Elephas maximus indicus: one gene and its partners. The protein of the gene in region 2 purifies or fractionates together with the protein of the main gene of each other region. This does not show direct contact. Links are inferred from orthologs where the notes say so. Each region holds a gene or a part of one and is shown on either strand. Other genes may lie near its edges. The genes, in order: PSMG3, PSMB7, PSME3IP1 and FBXO7.

Region 1 (7,356 bases), on a different chromosome or scaffold from region 2:
ACCATTCACAAGCCCCCAGCCATGTTCCACTCCTTTCCCCTCCCAAGGCTGATATCGGTGACCAAGCAAAGTGGAGCCTGCCCGACACCTGAGTATTGTTTCTGGCTTCAAGGGCTCCTGGTTGTGGCTGAAGATGTCTTCCAACCATTGTGAGGGGGCCTGCGTCTTCCCTTGATCTTGGTGAGCAGGAGGGTGGTCGGGCCGTATGGGCCCCCTCACCATACCTGGCATGTCCGAATCACCTCCCGCAAGGCTTTCACCCCCTCCATGCTCCTGTCCTTCACAGCCACGGCCAGGAGAACTGCTTTGTTCCCAGCTTCTTGAGACACGAACGTCACCAGGTTCTTTGCAAAGACGTGGATGAGAGGCTGGTGGAGGGAAGGGGAGGGAACCACTTTAGCAGCAAAGAGCTGGTTTTTTTCCTTAGTGCCTTCCCTAAGTAGCCCTTAGGAGCCCAGATGGGCTTCCCACACCACCATTACATCACCAAGCGTTAAATCTGATGCCACTGTGATTCAGAGTTCAACGCAACGCTCAGAATACACCAGTTGTAAACAAACCACTAAAGAGGTGTCACTAAGCTCACTTCCTTGGTGCCCTCTTCTGAGTCCCCTGTCTCTGCTCGCTGTATCTAACCTCCAAAGACTCAGAAGGACAGGTCTGGAGAGGGGTCCTCTGTTCCAGTTCACAGACAATCTTTCCAGGACAGAGCATGAACAGCCACTCATTAACAGTGTCTATCATGACAGAGTCAAACCAGGAGGAGGCACATACTACAGAATCAATCCTTGCCTGCTGGGTAAGATTCTAACGGGCTGGTACAAGCACTCACCAAGGACAGGTGGGACACCCCTAGACCCAGAAATGCCCACTCATGGCCACCGTAGGGGGGCTAGCCTTCCACCTGTTCCAAGAGCTCATTGAGAAATGAAAGCCACAGAAGAGGATCCCCCTCCGCCCTGGGCCTTTCCCAGCCCTTTTACCTCATCCTGCCCGAGAAGGACTTTGGTGGTAAGCATGGGCTTGCTGATGTCACTAGCCACTTCGCTGGGCTCCAGGGAGACCAGGGTCCCCATCTTCCCAAACTGCGTCACCACCACTAGGATGTGGCTGCTGAAGGCCGTGCACACCACCTGGGTGGGGACGCCACACAACACTTCTCTCCTCTGTTTCGAGACCACCAACGGTTTGTCTTCCATGGCTGGGCGTCTTCTATGGCAGCTTTAGTTAGTGCTAGAAAGAACAACAACAAAAAGGAGTAAGTCAGCCAAACAGGGCCCGAGACACCTTGGGAATCAGAATCCTAAATACGTATCTTTTGGCATTAAAATAGAAACACAAGCGGCTGCCTGCCCATATAGATTGTACCTGGAGTCACTGGATGCTGAACAGTTAACACACTTGACCGCTCAGCTGAAAATCTCCCACTGCCTATATGGGACATCTCTGTGAGTCCACCCAGAGGGACCTCAGAAGAAAAGCCTGGTGATCTATTTCTGAAAAATTAGCCACTGAAAACTACGGAGCACAGATGTACTCTGACACACATGAGGCTGCCACGAGTTGGAACTGACTCTGTAGCAACGGATTGGGGGTTTTGGTTTTAACAACATATATGTATGGCCATATACATAATCTTATAAACATATTAAGGTCCTTGAGTGGTGCAAACAGTTAACGTACTTGGCTGCCAACCAAAATGTGGGGGGTTCGAGTCTACCCAAAGGTGCCCTGGAAGAAAGGCCTAGTGATCTGCTTCCAAGGCGGGAAACCGCTGGCCAGAGAATGAGGCGGGAAACACCCAGACGGCGGCTGGGCAGAGGGAAGCCGCCATATCTCCTTCCTCGCCGCCATTTCCCCTTCCTCACCGCCCCAGTGCAACTGCGCCTACGGATGAGGTCGGTTATCCTCCAGTCCTGATGGACCACGCCCCAGAGCACACCCTGCAAAAGAGCCTGCCCCATTCTTGTTGCCTCCCCATGCCTGCTGATTAGGGAGCCGTCTTGGCGAGGTAGGTCCCAGTGATCTCCTTTGTTTGGCTAACCAAATAGTTTTCCTTCCTTTGCTTTCACCTGACTTGTGCCTCAGTGTCTCCCCGAGCAACACTTCCAATCAATCAGCCATGAGAACTCTATGGAGCACAGGTCTACTCTGACGCACATGGGGTAGCCAGGAGTAAAGAGTTGACAGCAACTGCTTTTTTTTTTTTTTAAATACTGGAATGGAACTTTGTGGATCAGTTGATCAGTAGATGTACACAGGCCACACAAAGAAGCAAATGTCAAAAAGCTTTCATGTTTAGAGGCAGGTGATCTCACTTCCTCCCTGAGCACAGCGTTTCCCGCCCACTTCCAGCCTCCCGCTGGTATGTATTACTTTTATGACTTCCCGCTGATCCTAATGGCACTAATTTAAATCAAGGCAAGGGGGGATTTCCCTCATATCCTTGATACCTGCAAGCAAAGCACCCAGGTGCTCAACAGCCGAGACCAGAACCCCCGCTTTTCTGCTAGTCTGTAGACTGAATTCTCACTTTATCTGCTTTTGGGGACATCACTGGTCCCAAATGGAATTATTGACACCCATATTCAAGGACAAGGAGGGGCAGAGGCATGGAGGGGCAGGCAGAGACCCAAGAGCTAGGCACGGAGAGACACAAAAAGATAAAGGGCAGGGGGAGACTGAGGTGAAGAAGGAGATGCAGGGATAGGGACCCGGGGGCTGGTGTCCAGAAACAAACAATACAGGGATGCGGGTCCAGGGGCGGCGAGAAACAGGGCTGGAGACTCAGACTAGGGGCCGGAAGACCAGGGAGGGATCTCGCCTCGGACTACGACAAGATAGGGGGCCGCAGGGCACCCCCACCCTCCCCAGGGCCCTCGGGGTCGCCTGCCAACCCGCCGGACACCGCCCCGGACCTCCACCCGCTGCGCCACCTGAGCTCACCGGCTCCCGCACCGCGCCCGGAAGTGGCTCAGCGTGTGCGACGAGGGCCCGCCTCCGCCTGGCGCGCCCCGCCCACCCGCCGGCCCGCCCTCCGCTCCCGCCCCCCGGCCCACTCACGGGCCCGCCCATCTCCTCCCACCGCCTCCGCCGGAAGTGCAGGGTGGGGCTTCCGGTGGCTGAGTCGTGAGCCGTTCGGGTCTTTCGGGAGCGTTGTTTGCGTTCTTCATGAAGATCTCTGCTCGGTGCTTTAGACCAGGAGCTGGGGGCGTTAGGGAAGGGCTACGGGGGCCTCAAGTCCCGAGCGTAGGCTGCTCAGCTCCTTGCCCTCGTGAAGGGCTCTTCGATTTCTCTAGAAGGGCATCCTCGGGACCCAGCCCCGCTCTGGTCTCGGGTCGCGGTGTCCTCGGCCGGGGCTCAGGCCCTTGGGAGGGCTTCTCCAGGGCCCTCGTAACAGCCCAGAGAGCTTCTGCCCCGCAGTAACAAAGACACTTTTAGCCTCTCCAGATTGTGCCGGCGCCCCATGCCTCAAAATCTCGTTTGGGGTAACCTGTGTCCACCGCGGTGGAAATAATAACGGATGCTTATTTGGCACTTTTATGTGCCAGGCACTGTTCTGAGTGCCCTGTGTATATTAATTCATTTAATCTTAACAACTCCATTAAAGTAGCAAATGGCTGTTAACCAAGTGGTTGGAGATTTGAGTCCACCCAGAGGCACCTCGGAAGAAAGCCCTGGCCATCTACTTCTTAGAAATCAGCCCTTGAAAACCCTATGGAGCACATCTCTACTCTGATACGCATGGGGATGCCATGAGTCAGAATCCACTCTACTGGTACTTTTATCCCCTTTTTACAGACAGGTTCAAGTTCAGAGAGAGCTTGCCCAAGGCTCTGATAAGAGGTGGCCCTAGGCTTCAAACCCTTACGCTTAGTTGCTGCTCCTCATGTGAGTGCCCAGGTGAAGGAGTAGAATGAATGGAGGGAGGGACATTGCTACCCCCCTAACAGGATGATTTCTGGTTCCTCCCAAGGATCCCTGAAAGTAATTCCTGCCCCCCCGCCCCCACCCCAACTGCTTTATCATCTGTTTCTCCAAGCTGGAGGTTTTATTGGCAGGGTAAGGCAAGGTTTGAGAGGGATTCGAGCCTTGGGACCCTTAGGGGATTAATACTCCAGAACACCATGCTCAGAAGTCTTTCTCTTTCCTGACAGCTCTGTCATGGCTGTATTTGCCTCCCATCAAAGCCTGCGTACCCCACACAATTCCCTAGGGAGCTGTGGCATCCCTAATGCCTTTACACCCTTGTTTTACAATTTAATGTCCTTGTCCAATCCAAGTCAAGTCAAATGAAGCGTGCCCTCTTAAAAATGATGTCTGGTGGCCTAAAATAAAAGGCACGCGTACAGAACATTATTGACAGACATAAAAATCAAGAAGATACTTGTTTTTGAGCTTCCTTACAGTCTGTACACAAAGGGAAAGATGATGATTTCATGGTTCCAATAATCAGAAAGGAAGAAGCATATCAATTTCTCAGAAAAGTGTAAGTTCTTGTTGGTTCTAAATTTAAACACACATCCACCCACACACACCCCAGAAGCAAATTGCCAGTGTATTGCTTTGCCAGTGTGAAACCCTCAAGAGGTCCACTCACGTTTATTCACCTATTTGTGCGTTTTCTCAATAGGCAAATATACACGAGAAACCTGACAAAAACAAATGTACAACTCTAAAATAAACATCACCTTTATGACACTTTGATGGCACTATTAAGCAAATACTCAAAGGCTTGTCATTCTGCTGCTTTTGTCTAGATCTTTGAACAAGACTGAATTTGAGAGATACGGAAGATGGGAAGGCTGTCCTAGACTCAGGTGACGGTGGTTCAGGGAGGTGGCTTCCTGGTGACCTAAACTGATAACGTAAAAAAAAAAAAAACTGATACGTAGGCAGGATTTAAATACTTTGAAGAATGGATGAGGAAATTTTTCTGCTGTTAGACTGTTCTCCAGTGCAAGAGGGTAATTGGGCCAGAAGGAACGATGCCTTCACCAAATTCAATTAAGATGGGAACCAAATTGTAATAGGGTAAATTGTGGAGGAAAAGAGTTTCCTTGAGAGTTTATCATGAAAAATGAAGGAAAAAAGGGAAAATATCTTGATTTTATCTTAACTCAATAAATTTTAGGGTATGAATGCAGTTGTTTTCATTTATATAGCCAACAAAGAATAAATCAAGTGTTGATTTGGGGTGGAGGAATCATAGTTTTTCAAAAAATTGTGCAATAGCTCAATACGCTCTTCTTCACAATGTGTGTGATTTTCCCAGCTCCATCCTATAAAGAGGATTGGTTTTGCTAAACTGTACTAGGGCACCATCAATTTTCTCAACAGCCTCTCTTAATCCATTGACGTTCAGATCATTTCTTGTTGACATGCATCCTGTCATTAGCCTTGTCAGTTTCCTTGGTGTCAGTTGCCCGCCCGTCTAGCATTGCCAACCGGCCCGTAATCACCAGTGGCCCTGGGCTCCATCTCATCATTCCCCAACAACGTATTCACTGGCTTCCTGAAATCTTGCATCTTTGCGACTGATTTGCATTGTACTCCCACCCCATCACACCACCATGTCCAGTTCTTTCAACGTGGGTGGGGAAAAATTCTGGAGCTACACCAGGAGAGATGTTTGAGTGGCGCCTAAGTACGTAAGTGCTGGGTTCATCAGTGAAAATTTTGTATCGGGGATTTCTATGTTCCTCCGAAGTCTCATAACTATGGGGACTCAGATAACTGAATCTTTGGATCGTGAGGATCTCCTGGGTATGACACTTTTGGGATGTTTAAGACTTTGGGTTTCAGAGACGACCTCTTTGGCCTTTACCAGTTCTGTGACTTGGGGCAACTTGCCCTCTCAACCCGTTTCTCAGTTTAAAAATGGAGATAATGCCTCCTTTCTTGATGAAAATCCTCAGGAAGATTGAAATAGAAGGCAAGTTCCTCAATATGATTCAGGTATATATGAAAAACCAATAGCCAATGTTATACTTAATGGAGAAAGATTGAGAGCTTTCCCCTTGAAATTGGGCACAAGACAAGGGTACTCGCTCTCACCCCTTCTATTCAACATTGTATTAGAAGTCCTATCCAGAGCAATATGAGAAGAAAAAGAAAAAAGAGGTATCCAGATCAGAAAAGAAGTAAAATTTGCTCTAAAAATGGAGATAACAATTTTCCCTTCCACATAGGGATAAATGAGGTGGCCCGTGTACAGGGATTCATGCTAGAATATCATAAACTTAGCTATGAAATTTATTATTAGCCAACTCTTCCTTAAATGAATGAAATCCTGCTGCTCTATGGCAGATGAAGAGCAGCTTGAGTACAAATAAATCAACCCTCACAACTTGGAGGGACTCACCCTCAAGGTGCTGTTTTGTGCTCTTGATCCGCGTGGTCTGAACTTCCTAGGACCCACAGGAGCTTCTCTCCAAGCTGCTGGGACGGCGACCTCCAGGATCTCTAGGAGGGCCCCCGAGTCTGCCCTAGTAACAGTCTTGTGGGTGCATGGCCTTTGTTTAAGTCAGACCTTCCCAACATTTCCCTCTAAATTTTGTTGTGATACAGTAATAGGTAGAAAAGACTTTATTTATATAAATGGGAATCATTCTCACTTCTCTCAGCCAGGCTCTGAAACAGAGCAGGTTAAGAGACAGTTGGAGATTACATTGGTGTAGGCCTGAGATATTAGCACCAGTTGCTGTCAACTCCGACTCATGATAACCCCACGTGTGTCAGAATAGAGCTACATTCTACAGGGTTTTCAGTGATTGATTTCTTTAAAATAGGTCACCAACCTTTCTTCCAAGGCACCTCTGGGTAGACTCAAACCTCCAACTGTTTGGCAGGATGGCCACGCGAAGATGCATCTACAAGCTAAGGAACACCAAGAATCACCAGGAACCACTGGAAATTGGAAGAGACAAAGAAGGATTCTCCCTTAGAGCTTTCAGAGAGAGCACAGCCCTGCCGACACCTAAACTTTGGACTTCTGGCCTCCAGGACTGAGACGCAATAAATTTCTGTGGTTTTAAGCCAACCAGTCTGTGGTACTTTGTTATGATAGCCCTAGGAAACTAAGACAGACTGAGTATAAAAAATGGAGCCCACCTCCCACCAAGTCTATCAGTTCTTGCTTGCAGAGTTGCCAAGGTGGAGAAAGACCTACAGAAAGATCCACAGGCAAACAGTTAAGTTTGCACACAATTGCTCAGGCTGGACTTGTAGCTATTCCTGCCTGCTGAGAATTTTATTCTATAATACGAAATAATCCACCCTTATACCGTATCTGTCCTTCTTCCGTCTCCTTGTCTCTTCATTTTTTAGACACCACTTAGATTAAAAAAAAATTTT
Region 2 (7,407 bases):
TTTGAAAATACACAAGCTATTCACACTAACCAATACTTACTAAATGTTAGGAGATATGAAGTGTATTTTTGAACAGTTCTTGTCAGCAACAACCATTCCTTCAGTTGCCCTTGTATCTGCTCCAAGAACTATGCCATCCTATTGGAGGGAAAAAAAAAGTTTAGAAATAATTTTAGATATATAAACCACAGCTCTCTAGCTTAGGGAAAACAACGTTAGCCATCTCCTGCTCCCCCAACCCCACACCCCCCGGTAAATCTCCTACCAAAAATACTGTGCCACACTTTCAGAGTTCAAGAAAAGGCTCATTAATAAACCTTATTAGTTGAATCCTGAGTAGGTGGTAGGAACCGCCATCCCCATTTTCAGATTTTAAAAATGGGGCTCAGAGATTCAGTGATTTCTTATAAATCACAAAGCTAATCTTGGAAAAGCCTGGATTAAGATCCAGAAATCCTTCCAATAAAAGAGACATCTCTGTCAATTTTTTTTAAATAAGTCATTCTTTACCTTCAACAACAGTAATCATTATCTCTTGACCCTTACAACAATTTAAGGCAGGAGTTATTATCTCCATTTGCTGGATGAGGAAAGGGTGGCTGTGAGAAGTGGCCCAACCAAGGTTGGAAGCAGCACAGAAGCTCAATGAATAAATGTCTGACGCCAAATCTTCGGTTCTCCCATTATATCATCCTGCCTCCTACAGCAGTTAACTTAAAACAAAAAAGCAAGCAAACAAAAAAGACAACAGGGCGTGCTTGTAGCCTGTGCAGACGAAACCACATGATTTGAAGCGGCACTGTAACTGGGTAAAAAGACAGCTCTGACGGAGCACATTATAATGTTCAAAAAGTAAATTAGCATAGAGTTTTAGCCTTGTAGGTATACTGATACATGTAAGCTGGGTTTATGAAAAAATATTTTTGTTGTTACAACCACAGGAATATTTTTACTAAAAAAAATAAATTTCTACTGAAACACTGCACAAAAAATTTACAGACATTTTGGTGTCACCCCCTCTAACACTGTCACTGAGTACAGTCTGCATCCCTTGTACCTCCCCCCCCCCGCCCAGTGATGTCACTGGCCCACGGTTGTCCCAAAGCTGCTGGTTGAGAGGTGGACCAGTAAGCACAGGGGGCCAGACACAACCAAAAAAAGCCACACTGCACCTGACCTGAAGTGACAACACACCTGCTGAAAGAAACACACCTGGTGACTCCTGATCCATGGCGTGCTTGCCCAGTGACACAGAAATGGACATGAGTAATCTGAGAAGGGTAAGCAGGTTCCTCTTCTATGATGCTAAGCAGGGGTACTTGTGGTGGTGGAGGGGACCAGTTCACCTCTAATCTATTGCTGTTCTTTACTGTTTGCTTTCTATAAGTAATCTGTTTCTGTTGTTTTTTTCCTTCTATAAATAATAATGGCTTTCCATTACCAACACTTTGTAAAATGTCTTTTTGTATGCAACCCAACTGGATCAGAGAGTATAGTCCTTAGCCCTAACAGTTTCATGACTGCTTGGGATTTACAGTACAACCTGTGTGTATATACACATGTACAGGTTTCAGATGAAACCTGACCCCTGACTGGTCAATCAATTTTTAATGAATACCTACTATCTGTCAGGTACTATTCTGGCAGTGGGAGCAAATGGTAACTGAAACACAATCCTATAACTTAGTGTTCTAAAATATTTCATGTCAGGTTCACACTGGTCTCATGTGAAGAAAGGTATTGGGATTAAAATGGTACCAACTCACAGAATCCAGACTTCCTGGAGCCATGGAGGCTGGATGATCCCCTGAAACTATTGTCCTGAGGTAATCTTTAAACATTAAATCTTAAACCAAAAATATCCCCTGAAGTCTTCTTAAAACCAAACAGTAATTTAGCTTAACTAGTAAAGAATGTCTGCCTTGAGCATTGTGCTCTTTTAAGATCCAGCCATATGGGATAAAACTGACAACAGCAACTCAAAAGATGAGATAGGAACCTTAGGGGGAAGTGAGTTTATGTTAATGAAAGAGGGAACAACTCGGAAAAGAAGGGTAAGAATGGTTGCACAAAGGGAAGAATGCAATTAACGTCAACGAATTGTGCATGCAGAAATTATCGAATTGGTGTATGTTCTGCTGTATATATCTTAACAACTGAATTTTTTTAAATTATTTTAAAAAAGTAAATTGCTCTCCTGTCAATGACTCTGCAAAGAATGAAAAGAATATGAAGTGTTAACAAACGCACATAATCTAGCGACAAAAGCAATCGCTCCTAAAGGGCCTTTTCCTGATGTACTCTGTAACATCAGCCCTTCCTGATCCAGCAAGGAGAGATCTATATCCTGTTATCAATCCAGTCATTTCTACTCCAGGTTACCTTATAGACCACTCCCGCAATGGTCGTGCCAGTTTTCCGGGCTGCTGGAAGCTTGTAACCTTTCTTTGCAAATTCGGCTTCTAAGAAGGCATTCCTAAGTGCAAAAAAGAAAAAAATGCTTAAGGGCAGGACGACACTGAGCCGCAATGGCAAGAAAAGTACTTAATAGTTAACTCAGGAATAGAAAAACTCTTTCTCGCCCATCTGTTCACTGAATCCTCCCAATATCAGGGATATTGTTCTTTTTTTTTTTTTAAGAAAACCGCCTCAAAGAATGGCCGCGATTCGTCTAAGGAGACGGTGTCCGTGGGAGCTGGAGAGGTGTGAGGGCTAATCCGGCCTCAACAGAAACCCACGCTGAGGCCCAGGTTGCCCTGAGTCACCCGAGCCGCGAGCCGCAGGCCCCGTAGTCTCCCGCACACTCGGTCTTTCCAGATCAGGCCGCGGGAAAGCTCCGACCGGGGCACCGTACTCCCACGTCCGCCCCGGACCCCGACCCGCAAAGGCCGCACCTTCGGCAGTTATCAAAAGAGAAACCTCCAACCGGTCGCTCATACACCGACACAGCCGCCATCTTCCCGAGTAAGCACTTCCGGGCCGAGGGCGGGGACAAACAAAAAGAGCCGAGTACTTCCGGCGCCGCAGGCGACTCGGGCTTAACAGGCGGGTCAACTCAGAGCAAGGACAATTATCTTAGCGTTATTAATTCCTAGACAAGCCCGGAGATATTTGCGATATATCGCCCCCAGTGGCGGGGAGGAGACCCTTATTCCCGGAGCGGGAGAAGGACTTGAACAAGATGAACAGACCAGAGACCAGTCCCCAGCCGCCCAGACCAGACTTGTTTTTATCGTTAATTTAGCTCCGCTGGGCTGAGCCGGATTTGATAAGACGTCAATGGATTTGGGTTTTTTTTTTTTTTTGGGAGCGGGGAGCAGAGGAAAGGAAGGGCATGGGCTTCAGAGACAGACACAACCAGGCTCCAGGCCCAGTCCCACTACCTCCTTGCATTGAGCAAGTCAGCTCCACTCTCTTGTTTCTTCCGCTGTAAAATGGAGATGACACCTACCTCAAAAGACTCTTGTGAAATGGCCAATAAGCACATAAAAAGATGCTGGACATCCTTAGTTATCAGGGAAACACAAATCAAAACCACAGTGAAATGCCACTTTACACATGTCGTTCTTAGGTGCTGTCCAGTTGGCCCTGACTCATAGCGACTGAAGAAAGCACCGGCCAGCTCTGCACCATCCTCAAAATCATTGCTGTGTTTGAGCCCATTGATGTAGCCACTGTGTCAGTCCATCTCACGAGGGTCTTCCTTTTGCGTTGACCCTCTACTTTGCCAATCATGATGTCCTTCTTCTCCAGGGACTAGTCCTTCCTGATACCATATCCAAAGTGCATGAGAGGAAAACTCACCATCCTTGATTCCAAGCAGCATTCTGGCTGTACTTCTTCCAAGATAGATTTGTTCATTCTTTAAGCAAAAAAAAAAAAAACGTTGCCATGGAGTCGATTCTGACTAATAGGGACTCTATAAGACAAAGTAGAACTGCCCCATAGGGTTTCCTAGGAGCAGCTGGTGGAAACCAACTGCCAGTCTTTTGGTTAGCAGCCTAGCTCTTAACCACGGCACCAGCAGGCCCAATGGTCTATTCAATATACTTTGCCAACACCATAATTCAAAGGCGTCAATTATTCCTTCGTCATTCATCCTCCAGCTTTCACATGTGTAAGATGCAATTGAAAATAACATGACTTGGGTCAGGTGTGCCTTAGTCCTCAAAGTGACATCTTTGCTTTTAACACTTTAAAGAGGTCTTTTGTAGCCAATTTCCCCAATGCAATACATCGTTTGATTTCTTGACTGCTGCTTCAATGGGGGTTGATTGTGGATCCAAGTAAAATGAAATCCTTGACAACTTGTATACTTTCTCCATTTATCAGGATATTGCTTATTGGTCCAGTAGTGAGGATTTTTGTTTTCTTTATGTTGAGGTGTAATCCATACAGAAAATCTTTGATTTTCATCAGTAAGCACTTCAAGTCCTTTACACTTTCAGCAAGCAAGGTTGTTACATCTGCATATCAAAGGTTGTTAATGACTCTTCCTTCAGACCTAATGCCGCATTCTTCTTCATACAGTCCAGCTTCTTGGATTATTTGCTTAGCATACAGATTGAATAAGTATAGTGAAAGGATACAACCCTGATGCACACCTTTCCTGATTTTAAACCACACAATATCCCCTTGTTCTGTTCAAACGACTGCCTCTTTTTCTATGCACAGGTTCCTCATGAGCACAATTAAGTGTTCTGGAATTCCCATTCTTCGACATCTTATTCATAATTTGTTATTATCCACACAATCGAATGCCTTTGCATAGTCAATAAAACACAGGTAAACATCTTTCTAGTATTCTCTGCTTTCAGCCAGGATCCTTCTGACATCAGCAATGATATCACCCATTCCACATCCCCTTCTGAATCCAGCTTGAATTTCTGGCAGTTCCTTTCAATGTACTGCTGCAACCATTTTTTTAATTATCCACAGCAAAAATTTTACTTGTGTGTTACATTAATGATATTGTTCAATAATTTCTACATTCTGTTGGCTCACCTTTCTTTAGATTGGGCACAAATACAGATCTCTTCCATTTAGTGCCAAATTTCTTGGCATAGATGAGTGGGTACTTCCAGCGTTACATCCATTTGTTGAAACATCTCAGTTGATATTCCATCAATTCCTGGAGCCTTGTTTTTCACCAATGCCTTCAGCGCAGTTTGGACTTCTTTCTTCAGTGTCATCATTTCTTGATCATATGCTCCCGCCTGAAATGGTTGAACGTCAACCAATTCTTTTTGGTGTAGTGACTCTGGATATTCCTTCTATCTTCTTTTAATGCTTCCTTCATCGTTCACATGCTAACTGGAAAAACCAACCCATTGCTGTAGAGTTGATTCTGACTCATGGTGACCCCATGTGCTTCAGAATAGAACTGTCTTCCACAGGGTTTTCAATTAGAATGGCTATAATACAAAAAAAAAACTAGTGTTACCCATGACGTGGCGGAATTGGAACCCTCATACATTGTTTGTGGGAATGTAAAGTGGTGCAAGTGCTCTGGAAAACAATGTGGTAATTCCTCAAAAAGTTAAATACAAACTTAACATATGACCCAGCAATTCGATTCCTAGGTATATACCCAAAAGAATTGAAAGCATATTGTCTTAGTTATCTAGTGCTGCTATAACAGAAATCCCACAGATGGATGGCTTTAACAAACAAATTTATTCTCTCACAGTATAGGAGGCTAGAAGTCCTAACTCAGGGTGTCAGCTCCAGGGCAAGGCTTTCTCTCTCTGTCAGCCCTGGGGGAAGGTCCTTGTCATCAATCTTCCCCTGGTCTAGGAGTTTCTCAGCCCAGGGACCCCAGGTCCAAAGCACCACCTCTGCTCCTGGCTCTTGTTTGGTGGTAATGAGGTTCCCTCTTCTCTCTGCTCAATTCCCTCTTTTATGTCTCAAAAGAGATTGACTCAAGATACAAGCTGATCCTGTAGATTGTGTCCTACCTCATTAATATAACTGCCTCTAACCCTGAATCAGTAACATCAGAGAGGTTAGGATCTACGACACATAGGTAATTAGATCAGGTCACAAAATGGAGGACGACGAAACAATACTGAGGCTCATGGCCTAGCCAAGTTGACACACATTTTAGGGGGACATAATTCCATGCATAACACATATGTTCACACAAAAACTTGTACACAAACATTCATGGCAGCATTATTCATAATCTCCAAATAGTGAAAACAACCCAAATGTCCATCAGCTCATGAAATGATAAAGTGTGGTATGTCCATTCAATAGACTATTTATTATTTCAGCCCTAAAAAAGAATTAGGTACTGATACGTGCTATCACATGGATGAACCTTGAGAAGATTATGCTAAGTGAAAGAAGCCAGACACAAAAGGCCACGTATTGTGTGGTTCCTTTTATATGAAATGTCCTTAATAAGCAAGTCTTTGGAGACAGAAAGTAAATTAGTGGTTTCCGGAGGCTAGAAGGAGGGCAAAATGGGGAGTGGCTATTTAATGGGTAAAGAGTTTCTTTTTAGAGTGATGAGAATGTTCTGGAATTAGGTAGTTGTGATGTTTGCAGAATATTGTGAATATACTAAAAACCGCTGATTGTACACTTTAAAATGGTTAAAGTGGTGAATTTTATGTTATTTGAATTTTATCTCAATTTTCTCGAAAGGCTGCAGTGGGATTTGATTATACATATAACACACCTATCCTAGTGCATAACAGCTGCTTGAAAATTAGTTATTGAAACAGTCATTTCATTTTGTCAATAACCCAAAGAGGAAGGTATATAATCCAACCAATTTTACTGATGGAAATTGAGGCTCATTGAAGTGAAGTGACTTGCACAAATTTACATAGCAAGTAAATGACAGCCTCAGTGACTGTGGGATGAATTTATTTACTCAAAAAATATTTATTGAGCACCCACTATGTGTCAGGCATAGTTCTAGGTACAAATGAACAAATAGCACTGCAGGTGCCTGGGACCTGTCACCATTACGCGTTCAACAAATATTTGTCAGAGGTTGAATTCCCTTTCATTACCATTCTGGGTCTTTTGTGGGGAATGAGGACAATAAAGCCTTTTCCAGCTGCCGTGATGAAAATCTACTATTGGAAAAGTTTGTCTACCTCCTGTGTAACCAACTTTCTACTTTGGTGAGGGCAAAAAAAAAAAAAAAGAGTAAAAAGATTTGGGACCTGCTCTAAATAAGTCCACTTGCCGATAAGAGATACTTGACACCACAGAATCTAGGAAGGAGGGGTCATAATTTGACATGCCCTGATAATTGTAGAATGAGTGACTGCCTCCACAGCGTTCATCAAACCCTCTTACTGCTGCTCTGGGTTCAGCCTTTGGGGAATAGACACAAAGATGAATCAGAGGTAGTTCCTCCTCTCTTGAGCTCACAATTCCAGGGAGAAG
Region 3 (7,662 bases), on a different chromosome or scaffold from region 2:
TGGCAAAAGGTTTTGTTTTTTGTATATATACCAGTATTAGCAAAAGGGAATGGAGAATTTATATTTGTACTGCAACACATTCATGTCTTAACTTATAAGCCAAAATACTATTGGTCCAAATCTTTCTGCTGACGCAGTGAAAGATGAGGCACCAGTACCGGTTGCCACTGAGTTGATCCTGACTCGTGGCAATCCCATGTGTGTCAGCATAGAAATTGTGCTACGTAGGGTTTCACTGACTGGTTTTTTGGAATTAGATGCCCAGGCCTTGCTTCTGAGGAGCCTCTGGGTGAACTTGAACTGCTAACCTTTCAATTAGCAGCCAAGTGCATTAACTGTCAGCACCACTCAGGAACTCCAGAAAGATTAACCAACCACCTGTAAATCAGACGATGCTGAATAGTAATTTTAATGAAAAAAACAAGAGTAAATGTGGAGTAAAAATGGAAAACCAAGATCAATTTGAGACAATACTGATGATTCACCACAAACTAAGCACTCTTCCTGGATGTTGCAGGAATCCGCACTCTGTAGATGACCTGTGAGGGGCACTGGTGCCAAGCTTCCCAGGACAGATTTCCTGGGAGAAAATGTAATAGAGATGTCAGTAAACTCTAATATTGTGGCAGTTTTGGTTTATGAATGCCATGTTTTAGCAAATCCTTAATGATTCATTTGGTAAGTAGCCCTTAGATGTACAGATATACGAATAACGATAAAGCAATAGGAACTTAAAAAAAAAGAAGCTGCATTTCCCATGAAGAGGGGTGGGGTAGGAACCATACTTTGAGAACCACTGCATGAAGGGACTACAGGGGCGGAAGCTTAACTCTTGGGGACTGGCGGGAGGGGTGGGAGGAAGAAAAAACTAACAATGAAAAACAAAACTAAGAGGTAATAATAAACTTCCTAAGTATTTCAAAACTTTTATTCGAGGTATAGAGGTTTCATGAAATTAAGTCTAGAAACTGTAATTTCTAGCAATAAGAAAGCTACCTGCAGAATTTATTTCTTAACAAATTTAGGGAATCAATTTCTTGCTATCTCACATTATTTATAGTTTTTAAAACCTTGGAAAGGAACAATGTAAAATTTTCTCAAAGTATTTTTACCTGATTTAGTCTTGTATCTGTCACACGGTTATTGCTTTTACATAATAACCAGCAAACATTTCCTTTTGGATTGGGCATTATAGTAATACATAACAAATACGTACTTTTTTGTTAATCATAAAGGTTGGCCAGAAAATGATTTCAAAAACTGACTTCCTGAATAAATAAACCAAAGGGGAAATATTTATTCTTTCACACCTTAAAGTTGTAAGAGTCTTCTCCTAAGTGTTGTGGCTCAAGTTTTGGCATTCATTTCTTTGGCATTCACTTGACTATTCTGTTTTTCAATCATCTAATTTGAATATGGGGGTATGGGGAACGACCCTAATTCAATGGTAAATGCCTTCAAAATGCCAAAAGCCTGAAGAAAAGCTAAGTCAAATAACTCTTTTGAAGTAGATTATTGCTTGCACTGTGGTTCCCATCTATGGTGCCTATTGACCTTCCACTTACTTTTGCAACTCGGTGACTATGAGATCCTACTTTAAAAGGACCCCACCACAAAACACAGAAAATTTCCAATTTGAAGTAGTATAATACTGATTACCATTTCAAAAAAGTCCTAATAATTTCTCCAACTATATAAATATTAGAATGTCAAAGAAAGTTAAAGATGGCAAAGTGACTTCTCACTTCATTATAACAAATTACTTCATTATTTGGGAAAGCATACACAATTCTTGGTAGGCTGAATTAAGCTCATTCAGTTGAAAGAGACTGTTGTAAACGCACAACAATAATTTTTTTGTTAAGCTCTTGCGAAAATATACTTCAGAGTTGTTTTTTCCTGTTCACGATAGAATAACATTATTACACAAGATGCTAAGTTCTTATTTTCCCTTAAATACTTGGCCAATTTACTTAATGAGAAGTTATCTTGCTGACGAAGTAGAAAAAGCCCACATAGAGTATGCTGGAACACTTCCTATAATCAATACCTTAAAAATAATCACAGGGAACTGAAATAATGAGTTTGTGAAACCAGCAAAAAAGCAGGGCACAAAAAGACACTAGATCAGTAGGTCGGGGATAACATGTATCCTGAGAAATCAGAAAGCTATCAAAATCACCCCAATGATTTTTTTTTTAAGGACCATGGAATATAAGACTAGAAAAATGATAAATGCAGGTCAGTTTTTTGCTAAAAAACCAAAGCAACTATTAAAACAAAAAATCACTAAATAAATTAGCCAATATTTGAAAAGCCAGCCCTAACAAATGCCACTAACCAAACATTAAGGGAATGTCATATATGGAAACAAGTATCTTGTAACCTCGTCGAGGGATCCACAAAGCAAGATGTCATCCCGGGAAATGCAAACTCTACACAAGGTGGAAAAACGAAGTAAAGAGAACCATTGTGGAAGAGATATAAGATCGATTGCCAATGTCCTCGTAATCTATGGTATGGGGCTACCACAGCAAGGCATGATACTCATGGAGAAAAAAAGATGGTCTCAGTCACAAAATCACAATTGAGGAAGGCAGCATGATAATCACTATCCGTAGACATCCAAAGACCATGAATATAGAAGAGAGAAGGGATAAGGTTTATGATATTGAGATCAAATTACCTAGAGGAAAATCTCAACTGTCAGGGAAAAACTGACTGAAGGAAAAGATTTATTACAGTGCCAACTCCTGCCAGCACCATCAGACAGGCAAAGTAAATTAAAACTCTGAGAACTGGAAATCCCTCCACTCCCATCTAAACAGAGGCTGAAATCATGGGTTTAGATTATAATATAGCCTAACGAGCTGCAAACCTTAAAGTTTTCAGTACAATATGGCTCCCCACTACTCCATAGGTGATCAGTAACAACTGTATTAATACTGATCTATTACATCCATCCTATATACTGCTTTACAGTTAAGAAAGTGCCTTCATTTTATTCCCAACAGCAACCCGTTTGGTGGTGGAACCACAATACCTTGCTTCCATACAGCCTGTAGCTCATATTTTCACGCACTGCATATTTTACAAAGAGACTCAAAAAGATTGAGAGTAAGTCACTTGTATAAGGACAGCAAATGGTAGGTGAGGGGCCTGGAAAACGACAGGACTCTACTCAGCCTGGAAACCCTGGTGGTGCAGTGATTAAAAGCTACAGTTGCTAACCAAAAGGTCGGCAGTTCAAATCCACCTTGGAAACTCTATAGGGCAGCTCTACCGTCTCCTATAGGGTCGCTATGAGTCGGAAACGACTTGACGGTAACGGGTTTGGTTTTGGTTTTCTACTCAGTCAATAATAAACACTTCCGACCCTTAGAAGTTCGAAGTACAACACTGCAGGGGGAGCAACCTCAGACAGGGACACCACTGTCCACAGAGTCTCAGCAGACCGTCTCTGCCTGTCTCCCTCATCAAAGACAGGGAAACTGAGCCAAAGGGGAAGATTTGTTTAGTCCAAATCAGACAGAGGGTGCTGGCGGGATGGGTTCCCCGCACTAAGCCCAGAACCAGCTGAATCTTCTATCTGGGACACTTGGTCGGTCTTCCAGAGAGAGGGAAGGTACCCTTCCCACTCCTGCTTCTCTCCTACCCAGGCTTTCCTATGGGAGGGAGGGGGGGAAGGAGGCTCCACTTCCCAGAAGCTCCCGGAAACCCCCCCACCCCAACGCCCTTCCCCAATTTTTAACTCGGGCCACCGGAGTAGAAGAATCCGTTAGCCCTGGCTCCCGCCTCCTTGCCCCTCTCTCTGAGGTGTCTCTAGACCTCAAGCCATTTCGAAGTCTCCCTGGGGGAGGTCTGTCTCCCAACTGTACCCCCTAAAACACGAACTCCACAAAAGAGAACCCTCCCAAATCTACCTCTTCCGACCCAGACACCCCAACGGGGCGTCCCTCAGTCCCAAGAGTCTCCCCAGAAGCTACCTGCCTCTCACCTGGGTCCCTTTAACCGCGGCCTCCTCAGAAGAGCGACCCCCAAGAACCTCCTCCGGTAAAGATCCCCCAAAGGGGGAACACCCTTTTGCAGGAATGTCTTCAGGCGCCCTCAGCGCGGGCCTTGGCGGAGAACCTCCGGGCTGTTTCCCGGGCTCTGCCCAAAGCTACCTCCTCCCAGGTCCCTTCCCGGAGCCTCCCCCGGCCCAAGTCCGGCCACCCCGCCCGAGGTTTGGCCGGCTGTTCCCGTCCCTCACGAACGTCCCCAGCCCTCGGACTGTCCCCCCGCTCCGCGTCCCCAGGGGCTTGCCGGAGCAGCGCGGCCGGGCTGCGGCACTGACTTTCTCCAGCTCCCGGGCCCACCGGGGGGAGGGGGCGGCGGCGGCGCGACTCCTTTGTGACAGGTCCCAGAGAGCGATAAAGATGGACGCGAGGCCAAGGCGCTGCCATTACGCACTGGGCCCACCCCCGCCTCGCACCGCCCCGGCCCTCCCTCAGTCCCCTAGGAAACGCCCCTTCCTCGGTGGCAGGCCCTCTCCATCATAGCCAATCATCTTTCAGGGATTAAGTCACGTGAGGATACTGCCCTGTCCGCCCCCCAGGCGTGAGCTGGCCAATCCGCTTGTCGAAGTGTGAGTGGTCCAATCAAGTCCCCCGACTCGTTTCGGGGCCAGCGGATTTCCATCTGTCTCTCGCGGAGGAAGAGAGCTGCGGATTGGGCTACGCTGCCGGAAGCGGGGCGGAACTTTGTTGTAGGTGAGGAAGAGGAAGCCCTGAAGGGTCAAAAAAAATACAAAAGCAAAGGCTATTTTCTTTTTCTTTTTTTTTTTTAAACAGCGAGCGGCCTTTGCGGTGGCGGTTTGGGGTGGGCGCTGCTGAGGTGAGAGTCTCGCCTCCCGCGTGTGGGTAGGTGAGTGTGGCCTGGGCCCCCTCCAGGCAACTAAACCTGGGCTCGAGTTTCTTCGCTGAGGAGACGGGATGTTGCGGCTGAGGTTAGGATTAGGGCCAGGCCTGTGCCCCCAGTGCGCTCGGCTAGCCCTGTGTCCTGAGTCCTCGAGGTCGGGGGCCTGCTGAGTCCAGTCTGAGAAGGCGTCTGGCTCGTGTAGGGAGGCTCCCCGACCCTTAGAGATGAGTCCGGGATCCCGGGCCACTTGCGGCTCCCCTCCACCTTTGCTGCTAGATGGGGCCATCCAGTCCCCAGTGGGAAGCGGGCTTTGCTCCCGAGGGCTTGGAACCGCTCCAGGCTGCTCAGGAGATGTGGGGACGCCTGGTTGGAAATGATTGAATCACAGAATGGACGTTCAGGATGGGCAGCATATTTCTTATATACCATGTGCCAGTTGCTGTGCGAAGTGCATTTTCTAGTAGAAAACAAACCAGCGTGCCCGTTTTGCCGATGAGGAAATGAAGGCTGAGAGTTGGAGCGGGTCGTTTGAGGCCCCCTGTGAGCTTGGTGGCGACGGGAATGTCAGTCCTCGCCAGGAAAGGGGGAGACCTATTCGTTCATAAAGTGGTTCTTAAAACTTTAGTTGAAAGCGGTCGTCTACAGCTCTTAAAATGCAGTTTCTCGGGCCCGACTCCCAGATACTCTGACTGAGTAGGTCTGGAGTGAGACCCCCGAAAGCCAAGTTCGGACCTGGTGGTCAGAATTCCCAACTACCCCTTGTGTACCAACCGGTTGCGTGGTAAGATTTGCTGACTGTGGCTTTTTGATTAATTGGTGTCTAACAAGGACGTAATAAACTGGCTTGGAGAGCGCTGCTTCTGAGATTCTTGAGAGGAAGTATGAGCGTGTAGACTTCTTTTGATACAGGGCAATCAGCTGAGTTGAAGGCATCTGGTAAAGGCTTTCAAATGGAGCCTGAGATGAGCTGTTAATAACTTGTAAGGGTCAGAAAGCAGAGGCTGCCTGAGTCTCTCAACTGAAGTCTTGATGCCTTTACCCTGTGGGGAAATTAATTCTTCATGGTTGTAAGAAAGGAAGAATTATGTGAAAATCATTTAAGTGGTTAGCAACCTTCACTTTCACCTTCTAAGAATCTTTATGTTTGGTTAGGGTCAAATTGCTGCTTCAGAAATTGAGAACCAAGTATCTGGTAAATGAAGTAATTTAAGAGCATGGTTCAGCCGTAGCCTCGGGTGAATTAAGCAATTTCAGTGTGTTCTCATGATTGAATACCTTTGTCTTCATTCTTAAATATAATCTGTTTAACTCCTTACTGTAGGATGTGTTTTTAAGATTTTTTTTTTTGTGTCTTTATTTTTGGTTTTCTGCATTTTCCATTTTGGTGTATTCAGGTGTGAATTTTTTTTTACTCAATTCGGTATTGTTAATTGCCATCAAGTGATTCCAACTCAAATGATTCCATGTGTTCGAGCAGAATTATGATCCATAGGGCTTTTCAAGGCTGTGACCTTTCAGAAGTATATCACCAGGCCTGTCTCCTGAGGTGCAGAGTGGGTTTGAACAGCCAAACTCTCTGCAAGTAGTTGAGCTCTTAACAGTTTGCACTACCCAGGGACTCCATTAAAAACAAGCAAACAAACAAAAAGAGAAACCAAGCCTGTTGCCGGCCAGTGGATTCCAGTTCATAGTGACCCTATAGGACAGAGGAGAACTGCCCCATAGGGTTTCCAAGGAGTGGCTGGTGGATTTCAACTGCTGACCTTTTGGTTAGCAGCTGATCTCTTAACCACTGTGCCACCATGGCTCCATGGACTCGGTTAGGCTTCTTGAATTTGTGGGTTAGTGCCTGATGAGTTCTGGAAAAATGCTAAGAGTATTCTCTGTTAGTGATTGTCATTCTCTGAAGAAGTTTTATACTCTAGGAAAAGTCAACTTGATCTAAATTGCCGTAGCTTGGTAGAAGTGCCTTTTGGCCAGAAAGTCTTTATTTGGAATATAGTTGAGTTTGCCAGATAGCAGATTCCTGCATTTTGAAATCCCATGTGACTTGAACATCAGGTTGAAAACATTGGAAGAGAACTGCCTTTTACTGACAAACCAAACCAAACCCAGTGCTGTCGAGTCGATTCCGACTCATAGCGACCCTATAGGACAGAGTAGAACTGCCCCATAGAGTTTCCAAGGAGCGCCTGGTGGATTTGAACTGCCAACCTTTTGGTTAGCAGCCGTAGCACTTAACCACTATGCTGCCAGGGTTTCCTTTACTGACAAAAGTAAAGTTAATTGGGCTGTTGTTTTTGGTACCCAAAGTGAAGCCTTATAAAACTGTTAACACAGAGATCTGATTGCCCCTGGTATATTTTTACATGTACAATCTGTATAATTTTAGAATTAGGCATATATGGTGGACAGTGATGTAAACACTTCGTAAGTAGTCTGCCGTCACAAAATTCAATTCCATAGGAAGCCAGATCTCATTAACTTGTGTCATGGCAGTAGCTAAATGGAATAGTTTTTCAAGTCAGGGATTGTAATGTAAGATTTGTATTTTAAAATGTGTGTAGCATGCTATGTCAGAAAGACACCGAGCCCATGTTGTCCCGCCAACCTGGAAATTAAATACCACCGTCTCCAGTACAAACACTAGTGCAGTGTTTAACAGTTACTTTGGTTTGAAATATAAGAACTTTGTTTTCTTGGCTGTCAAGCAAATTTGGAAAACTGTGTTCTTTCTTTGTGCCAGGTTGAAACTCTTAAGTT
Region 4 (7,626 bases), on a different chromosome or scaffold from region 2:
TCCATGCAGGACAGCTAGCATACTTTGGTTCCAAAACCTAGACCCATGTCCTTCATGCATATTCATAACCATAAAAGTTAGACGAGCGTATGTAGTTGACAGAGTACAAATGTATCCCCTCGACCAGATGATGACAAGTTGCAACCCTCCTACTGAGAACGTGTTGTCTTTTATACAGAAGACAGCAGAAAACCAAAAACTCACTGCTAAACCAATTAAGAGCTCAAATAAACCTTAGGCAACGCATTTGCATTGTTTCTGCATCACAGATTATCTGACTTTGTAAGGATAACCATCTTTTCATCACAGGGTGGTGAGGAATTAACAAAACCATTGTAAAAGGTTTTGTAAGACCATTTACACTCAGGAATGCTGATTTCATTAACTTTTTGAGACATTAACAAAGGATAAAGTCCTTTGACAATCACATTGTATTTTCTTATTTACAATGCTGCACTTTCCAAAGTGCTCAAAACAATTCATTTGTTTTCCTTTTGACTGTAAGTACATTTTTTTCTCACCAATTAAAAAGTCTTTGGTAGAGAAATTACTGAAATAGAAACGACCCCTGCTTCTCAAAAAAAAAGTAGCTCTGCTTCTGTTTTCAAAGTGTTTTTGATAAAATGTTGAAACTCTGCCAGCTGCCCAAAAAACACCATCCCAGCTTTGGCAGAAAAAGGAAAAACATCTCAAGTGAACTATATTTGTTTCTGGATCATTTGTCACAGCAAAAGGTTTTTTTTTTTTTTAACAGTATCAAGTACAAATATCTATTTGTAGAAAAGGCAAAGAACTGTCTGCTTAATAAAGAACATCGGCCTCTTCACCCTTTAAAAAAGGGAAGAGCTATTTCTAAAACAAAAAATGCAGTTTTCTAGGAAGAGGGTTTAAAAGGGTTGTTTTCTGAAACTGTTCTGTTTTCTGAACTTAAATTTTAAGTTCATCAAAAAATGAAATCCTAGAAACTCCCAAGCTTTTTCAAAATACTTTTATGACAATCCCAAATCCACTCGCTCAGTAAAGACACTTTAAAATAACAATGTGCTATGTACACCTTTTAAAACTACCCATTTACTAGAAAATGAACAGACTTTCAGAAGGATGAATTCACTTTTGTAAGGTGCAACTTAAATTCCTTTCTGTAAATCAGCCTCCACTGTAAAAAACAAACCTGAAAGAGAAATGAACTTCAGCTCTTGGCAAATAAGAGTCATATTGGGGCAAACAAGTCATATTGGGTTTCACATTCTTTTAAGATTATCCTGCCTAATTAAAAACTAATAATAAAAATATATATACATATGAAAATGCCTTGAAAAGAAGTTAATTTTGAAATGAGGGCAGTAAGCAAAACACTTAGGTTTAAGGCAAAGAAAATAATGATGGGCACATAACTGAAGAGAAATTATGTTCATACCTCTTTTTAAAAAAAAAAAATTGGGAGGAAAACATGCTTACTTTTAATGTAATAATGTCTTAACCTTAAAAAGGGAAGAGTGAGAAGATCATAATATGGCCCCACTTTACGGAACTCCCTAAAAACAAATTGGAAGCTTACAACAGTCTTATGAAAGGAACCATTTCAATTAACAAGGTTGTCTCTTGAAAAATTCACCTAAAACGTCCCCCAGGGAACGACTTTATTTTGTCTTAGCTCAAATTTCAAGTTCATTACCTCAATATTTGAAAAGAATCACCTTTATTTTGTCCTCTATTCCCAGATTATTGTCCCAGAAAACACCTTCTATGGAAACAAAACAGCCTCATCAGTAGCCCCATAAATTAACAGAATTTAACGCTTTACCTCTCAACTTCACTGTCCTAACACTGCCAAGTTCCCCAGGGTCATTATAAGGCCCTAAGTTTTAACACTTTATTGCCCAGGACAATACAATGATGTCAAGCACCTCTACAGAGTGTACTTTGTGAAAATTTGCAGCGAGGTAAGTGCAAGTGCTCACCAAGGGGCCTGGCACAGAAACTCAAGGTAGTCTTAAAATGACTGCAGCCTGACAGCAGCCGCACCAGTTAAGGGTGGCTTCGGGTGGAGAGCAGGTTTGTAACTTCTAGTATTCCCAAACCTTTCACTGAAATATTGAACAGGTGCAGAAAGTGAACTTAAACCCCTAGAGTCTGGAAATGTTTAAGCCATGCCAAGCTCATCAGTTCCAACTTTAAATTTAAAAATCCTGTGAGTTCTGCGTGCTATCCTATCCGTGGTTTCGTTTGCCATAAAATCGGAGTCGGTTACTTACCCTGCGGGGGATCGGAGCCCCCGGGACGCTGCGCCATGGGTCCTCGCAGCTGGGACAACCGCAAAAGCAGCCGCAGCTCCCCACTCCCAACCCGACGCGCCACCCGGACACTGGCCCCGAGCCCGCCCTAGTTCCAGCCCCAGAAGCGCTCCCGAACGGCGACGCCCCCAGAACGCAGAGCCCTCACGTGACGCCCGGGGCGTCTCTGCACCCTGGCGGAGCGCTCAGTGACGCCGGTGCCAACAGGCGACCCCAACCTCACGGCGCCCCACATGGGGACCCACGCTCCCGAGAGCGCACAGTCGCACGCAAACACCCGACTTACACCCTCACTTCTCCTACCGTACACCCCCAACGCCCGCGGCCGGGCTGCACCCCCAGCCGCCCCCGCGTACCTGTACCCCCAAGTGGGCAACAAGGCCTGGCCCAGATGCGCGCGCAGCTGCCCCAGCGTCGGCTCCGCTTCCGACATCTCCAGCGGCCAGGTCCGCTTCTGAAGCCGGACCCGAAGCTTCATGGCCGCGGCGGGGGTACCCAGGGGCTCGGACCCGGGGGCGGCGACAGTGGCGACGGCGGGGCCCAGCAGCTCCCGCCTCAAGCGGAGACCCAGGAGCGACAACTACCGGTGTTGTTAAAGTGCTGATGTGTAACGGGTAAAAGTCGCCGCCACGGCGGCCTAGGCCTAGCTCGCTAGTCCCTAAAACAAGGGCGCTCTGTCCCTCCTATAAGGGCGCCCCCTAGAGCCGACCCGCAGAGCGAGCAGCTGGCGACCAGCGCCGAGCCCAGCTGCAAAGGACCTTCCGATCGATGACTCGGCGCGCTACGCCGCTACCTGGGAGCGCGCGGCTTCCGGGCCGCCCGGGCGCCGCGGTCCAAGCTGACGGCGCGGAAGGAGGAGCGCGCTGCGCAGGCGCCCAGACGTCGGGGTGCGCTGGTACCCCGGCTCTTCCGCAGAGGCTGCTTTCTGACGTCTGAAAGGTGTGCTGGGAAGAACGTTATTGCTGAAAGGGATGCTGCGGACCGTACAACTCACCACGCCCCATGGCTTATGGGTACCTAGTTCTTACCCATTTCCTGCGTGGCGAACGACTGTTCCTTCATCAACGCCCAGTTCTAGTGGCACCTGCTCTGAGAAGCCCTTAGATTGAACCCCGGCTCCGGTAACTTCCTCCTTTTGTGCTTCCGCAGGGCTGTGTTCAAAAAGAATTAAGGGGAATAATGTATGGCAAACCACTGAGTATTGTCATAATTGGTCTCCCCAGTTACTGTGTTACATCACGCAGTTTCCTTCTTAGAGTTCATCAAAATCTGAATTTTTCTTTTTAATTGAAAATTAACTAATTGTTATTGTAACAGTTACTAATTGTTCGCCTACCACAGGCGAAGCTCCTGCCTGTAAGATCAAGGATCAAGTCTATCTTGTTCACCACGCGTACGTTGTTGTTGTTGTTTGTAGGTGCCCTGGAGTCGATTCCGACTCATAGCGACCCCTGTGCACAACAGAACGAAACACTGCCCAGTCCTGCACCATCCTTACAATCCTTGTTATCCTTGAGCCCATTGTTGCAGCCACTGTGTCAGTCCACCTCGTTGAGAGTCTCCTCTTTTCCGCTGACCCTGTACTTTGCCAAGCATGATGTCCTTCTCCAGGGACTGATCCCTCCTGACAACATGTCCAAAGTATGTAAGACGCAGTCTCGCCATCCTTGCCTCTAAGGAGCATTCTGGCCGCACTTCTTCCAGGACAGCTTTGTTCGTTCTCCTGACAGTCCATGGTATATTCAATATTCTTCGCCAACACCACAATTCAAAGGCATCAGTTCTTGGTCTTCCTTATTCATTGTCCAGCTTTCACATGCATATGATGCGATATGAAAATACCATGGCTTGGGTCAGGCCCACCTTAGTCTTCAAGGTGACATTTTTGCTCGTCAACACTTTAAAGAGGTCCTTTGCAGCAGATTTACCCAATGCAATGTGTCTTTTGATTTCTTGACTTCTGCTTCCATGGCTGTTGATTGTGGATCCAAGTAAAATGAAATCCTTGACAACTTCAACCTTTTCTCCGTTTATCATGATGTTGTTCATTGGTGCAGTTGTGAGGGTTTTTGTTTTCTTTATGTTGAGGTGTAATTCATACTGAAGGCTGTGGTCTTTGATCTTCATCAGTAAGTGCTTCAAGTCCTCTTCACTTTCAGCAAGCAAGGTTGTGTCATCTGCATAACTCAGGTTGTTAGTGAGTCTTCCTCCAATCCTGATGCCCTGTTCTTCATATAGTCCAGCTTCTCGGATTATTTGCTCAGCATACAGATTAAATAGGTCTGGTGAAAGAATACAACCCTGACGCACACCCTTCCTGACTTTAAACCAATCAGTATCCCCTTTTTCTGTCCCAACAACTGCCTCTTGATCTAAGTAAAGGTTCCTCATGAGCACAATTAAGTGTTCTGGAATTCCCATTTGTCGCAATGTTATCCATAATTTGTTATGATCCACACAATCGAATGCCTTTGCATAGTCAATAAAACACAAGTAAGCATCCTTCTGGTATTCTCTGCTTTCAGCCAGGATCCATCTGACATCAGCAATGACATCCCTGGTTCCACGTCCTCTTCTGAAACTGGCCTCAATTTCTGGCAGTTCCCTGTCGATATACTGCTACAGCTGCTTTTGAATGATCTTCAGCAAAAAATTTTGCTTGCCTGGGATATTAATGATATTGTTCTATAATTTCCACATTCAGTTGGATCACCTTTCTTGGGAATAGGCATAAATATGGATCTGTTCCAGTCAGTTGGCCAGGAAGCTGTCTTCCATATTTCTTGGTATAGACGAGTGGCCACCTCCAGCGCTGCATCTGTTTGTTGAAACATCTCAACTGATATTCCATCAATTCCTGGAGCCTTGTTTTTCACCAATGCCTTCAGAGCAGCTTGGACTTCTTCCTTCAGTACCATCAGTTCCTGATCATGTGCTACCTCTTGAAATGGTTGAACATCGACTAATTCTTTTTGGTATAATGACTCTGTGTATTCCTTCCATCTTCTTTTGATGCTTCCCATGTCGTTTAATATTTTCCCCATGGAATCCTTCACTATTGCAACTCAAGGCTTGAATTTCTTCTTCAGTTCTTTCAGCTTGAGAAACACCGAGCGTGTTCTTCCCTTTCGGTTTTCCATTTCCAGCTCTTTGCACACGTTATTATAATACTTTACTTTGTCTTCTCAAGCCACCCTTTGAAATCTTCTGTTCAGTTCTTTTACTTCATCACTTCTTCCTTTTGCTTTAGCTGCTCAACATTCAAGAGCAAGTTTCAGAGTCTCCTCTGACATCCGCCTTGGTCTTTTCTTTCTTTCCTATCTTCTCAATGACCTGTAGCTTTCTTCATGTATAATTTCCTTGATGTCATTCCACAACTTGTCTGGTCCTCAGTCACAGTTGTTCAGTGCATCAAATCAATTCTTCAGATGGTCTCTAAATTCAGGTGGGATATACTCAAAGTCGTATTTTGCCTATCGTGGACTTGCTCTGATTTTCTTTAGTTTCAGCTTGAACTTGCATATGAGCAATTGATGGTCTGTTCCACAGTCGGCCCCAGCCTTGTTCTGACTGACGATATTGAGCTTTTTCATCGTCTCTTTCCACAGATGTAGTCATTTTGATTTCTGTGTGTTCCATCTGGCAAGGTCCATGTGTACAGTCGCCGTTTATGTTGGTGAAAGAAGGTATTTGCAATGAAGAAGTTGTTGGTCTTGCAAAATTCTGTCATTCAATCTCCAGCATCATTTCTGTCCTCAAGGCCATATTTTCCAACTACTGATCCTCCTTCTTTGTTTCCAACTTTCGCATTAAAATCACCAGTAATTATCAATGCATCTTGATTGCATGTTCGATCAATTTCAGACTGCAGCAGCTGATAAAAATCTTCTATTTCTTCATCTTTGTCTCTAGTGGTTGGTGCGTATATTTGAATAACAGTCCTGTGAACGGGTCTTCCTTGTAGGTGTATGGATATTATCCTATCACTGACAGCATTGTACTTCAGGATAGATCTTGAAATGTTCTTTTTGACGATGAATGAAATGGAACGCATAAACATCGATATTCTAGGCATTAGTGAACTGGGATGGACTGGTATTGGCCATTTTGAATCGGACACCTGTACATATTATGCCATAAATAAATATAAATAAATAAACATTTGTGGTGCATGTGATAAGTGCTAACAGCAGGAGTATGTACATGATATGGAGTTGATTAACTGGGAGTGACACTTAAACTGCATTTTAAAGTATAACTAGGAATTTCCCAAGCTTAACAAAAGCAGGATTGAGCAATAGAGAGAGAAGAGTATACAAAGGTGGGGAAAGGTTAAATGGCATGCATATTCAGGGTAGCAGTAAGTTACAGAGCTGAAGACTTATGGGCTATTGAGAACGCTGTGTTGTAATTGTTGGGATTACTTGCTACTCAATACATTGTAGGTGCCTGAGATTGGAGACTGAATCTCAGCCCTGAGACAGCATCTGGGCTTGGAAGATGCTCAATAAATGCGTTCTAAATGAAGGAAAGAATTAATGAATGAACCCAATGGTTCTTAGGACTTTGTGCGAAGGAAATTAATCATCTAGAGCTTATGTGAAAGGACAACATACACAACAGATAAACTCTATAAGGGGTGATGGGCTGAGATTCACTCCTTAACTTCCCAAGCAGTGAGACTCAGCAGTATGAAATTTGGACATCTGACTTACTCATTTTCTAGACTCAAGGCCCACCGTGAGAAGTTCACAAAGTGATGGACAAAACAGTAACCCATAACACAGTAGATTGTGATAAAATGTTTAAATTATTTTCAATTTAGAAACCCCATCAGTTCGGTCAAAACCTGTGCTTAATCACCTGTTCCTGTTGTCAGCTGCTACTTCAAACAGCAATAGCAGCTGTTAACAGACTGAGCCCCAGTTTTTCTAGGACCACTTATAAAAGGTTTCGTGAAAGCTTCCTTGCCAAGCACTATGTGGGATGCTTTTCACATAATTTCATTTAGACTTTATAGCTCTGGAAAATGGCCGTTCTTTTTTTAATATATATATATGTACTTCAGATGAAGGTTTATAGAGCAAAAACCAAACCCATTGCCACTGAGTCGATTCTGACTCATAGCGACCCTATAGGACAGAGTAGAACTGCCCCAGAGAGTTTCCAAGGAGCACATGGCAGATTTGAACTGCCAACCTTTTGGTTAGCAGTCGTAGCACTTAACCACTACACCACCAGGGTTTCCATATAGAGCAAACTGCTTTCTAAATAAACAGTACACATACTGTTTTGTGACATTGGTTGCCAACCCCACAACATGTCAACATTC

The links.
Region 1: the proteins of PSMB7 (region 2) and PSMG3 purify together in Homo sapiens (affinity purification with mass spectrometry; 3 studies listed by BioGRID and IntAct, counting the BioPlex papers as one, with this or other methods). This does not show direct contact. The link is inferred for Elephas maximus indicus from reciprocal best matches to the Homo sapiens genes PSMB7 and PSMG3.
Region 3: the proteins of PSMB7 (region 2) and PSME3IP1 purify together in Homo sapiens (co-immunoprecipitation; 3 studies listed by BioGRID and IntAct, with this or other methods). This does not show direct contact. The link is inferred for Elephas maximus indicus from reciprocal best matches to the Homo sapiens genes PSMB7 and PSME3IP1.
Region 4: the proteins of PSMB7 (region 2) and FBXO7 purify together in Homo sapiens (affinity purification with mass spectrometry; 3 studies listed by BioGRID and IntAct, counting the BioPlex papers as one, with this or other methods). This does not show direct contact. The link is inferred for Elephas maximus indicus from reciprocal best matches to the Homo sapiens genes PSMB7 and FBXO7.

What each region holds. Positions count from the first base shown.
Region 1 is NC_064830.1:95,893,859-95,901,214, forward strand, and holds the start of PSMG3 (proteasome assembly chaperone 3), read right to left. Parts: upstream 3,016-7,356; 5' UTR 2,937-3,015; intron 1,234-2,936; 5' UTR 1,200-1,233; coding exon 984-1,199; intron 369-983; coding exon 216-368; 3' UTR 1-215. UniProt on the Homo sapiens protein: Chaperone protein which promotes assembly of the 20S proteasome. May cooperate with PSMG1-PSMG2 heterodimers to orchestrate the correct assembly of proteasomes.
Region 2 is NC_064827.1:75,453,206-75,460,612, forward strand, and holds the start of PSMB7 (proteasome subunit beta type-7), read right to left. Parts: upstream 3,002-7,407; 5' UTR 2,957-3,001; coding exon 2,895-2,956; intron 2,477-2,894; coding exon 2,383-2,476; intron 139-2,382; coding exon 41-138; intron 1-40. UniProt on the Homo sapiens protein: Component of the 20S core proteasome complex involved in the proteolytic degradation of most intracellular proteins. This complex plays numerous essential roles within the cell by associating with different regulatory particles.
Region 3 is NC_064839.1:24,134,106-24,141,767, reverse strand, and holds the start of PSME3IP1 (PSME3-interacting protein), read left to right. Parts: upstream 1-4,662; 5' UTR 4,663-4,751; intron 4,752-4,769; exon of another isoform or gene 4,770-4,905; intron 4,906-4,964; exon of another isoform or gene 4,965-4,987; intron 4,988-7,662. UniProt on the Homo sapiens protein: Promotes the association of the proteasome activator complex subunit PSME3 with the 20S proteasome and regulates its activity.
Region 4 is NC_064822.1:175,190,465-175,198,090, reverse strand, and holds the start of FBXO7 (F-box only protein 7), read right to left. Parts: upstream 3,016-7,626; 5' UTR 2,773-3,015; coding exon 2,651-2,772; intron 2,371-2,650; exon of another isoform or gene 2,293-2,370; coding exon of another isoform or gene 2,256-2,292; intron 1-2,255. UniProt on the Homo sapiens protein: Substrate recognition component of a SCF (SKP1-CUL1-F-box protein) E3 ubiquitin-protein ligase complex which mediates the ubiquitination and subsequent proteasomal degradation of target proteins and plays a role in several biological processes such as cell cycle, cell proliferation, or maintenance of chromosome stability.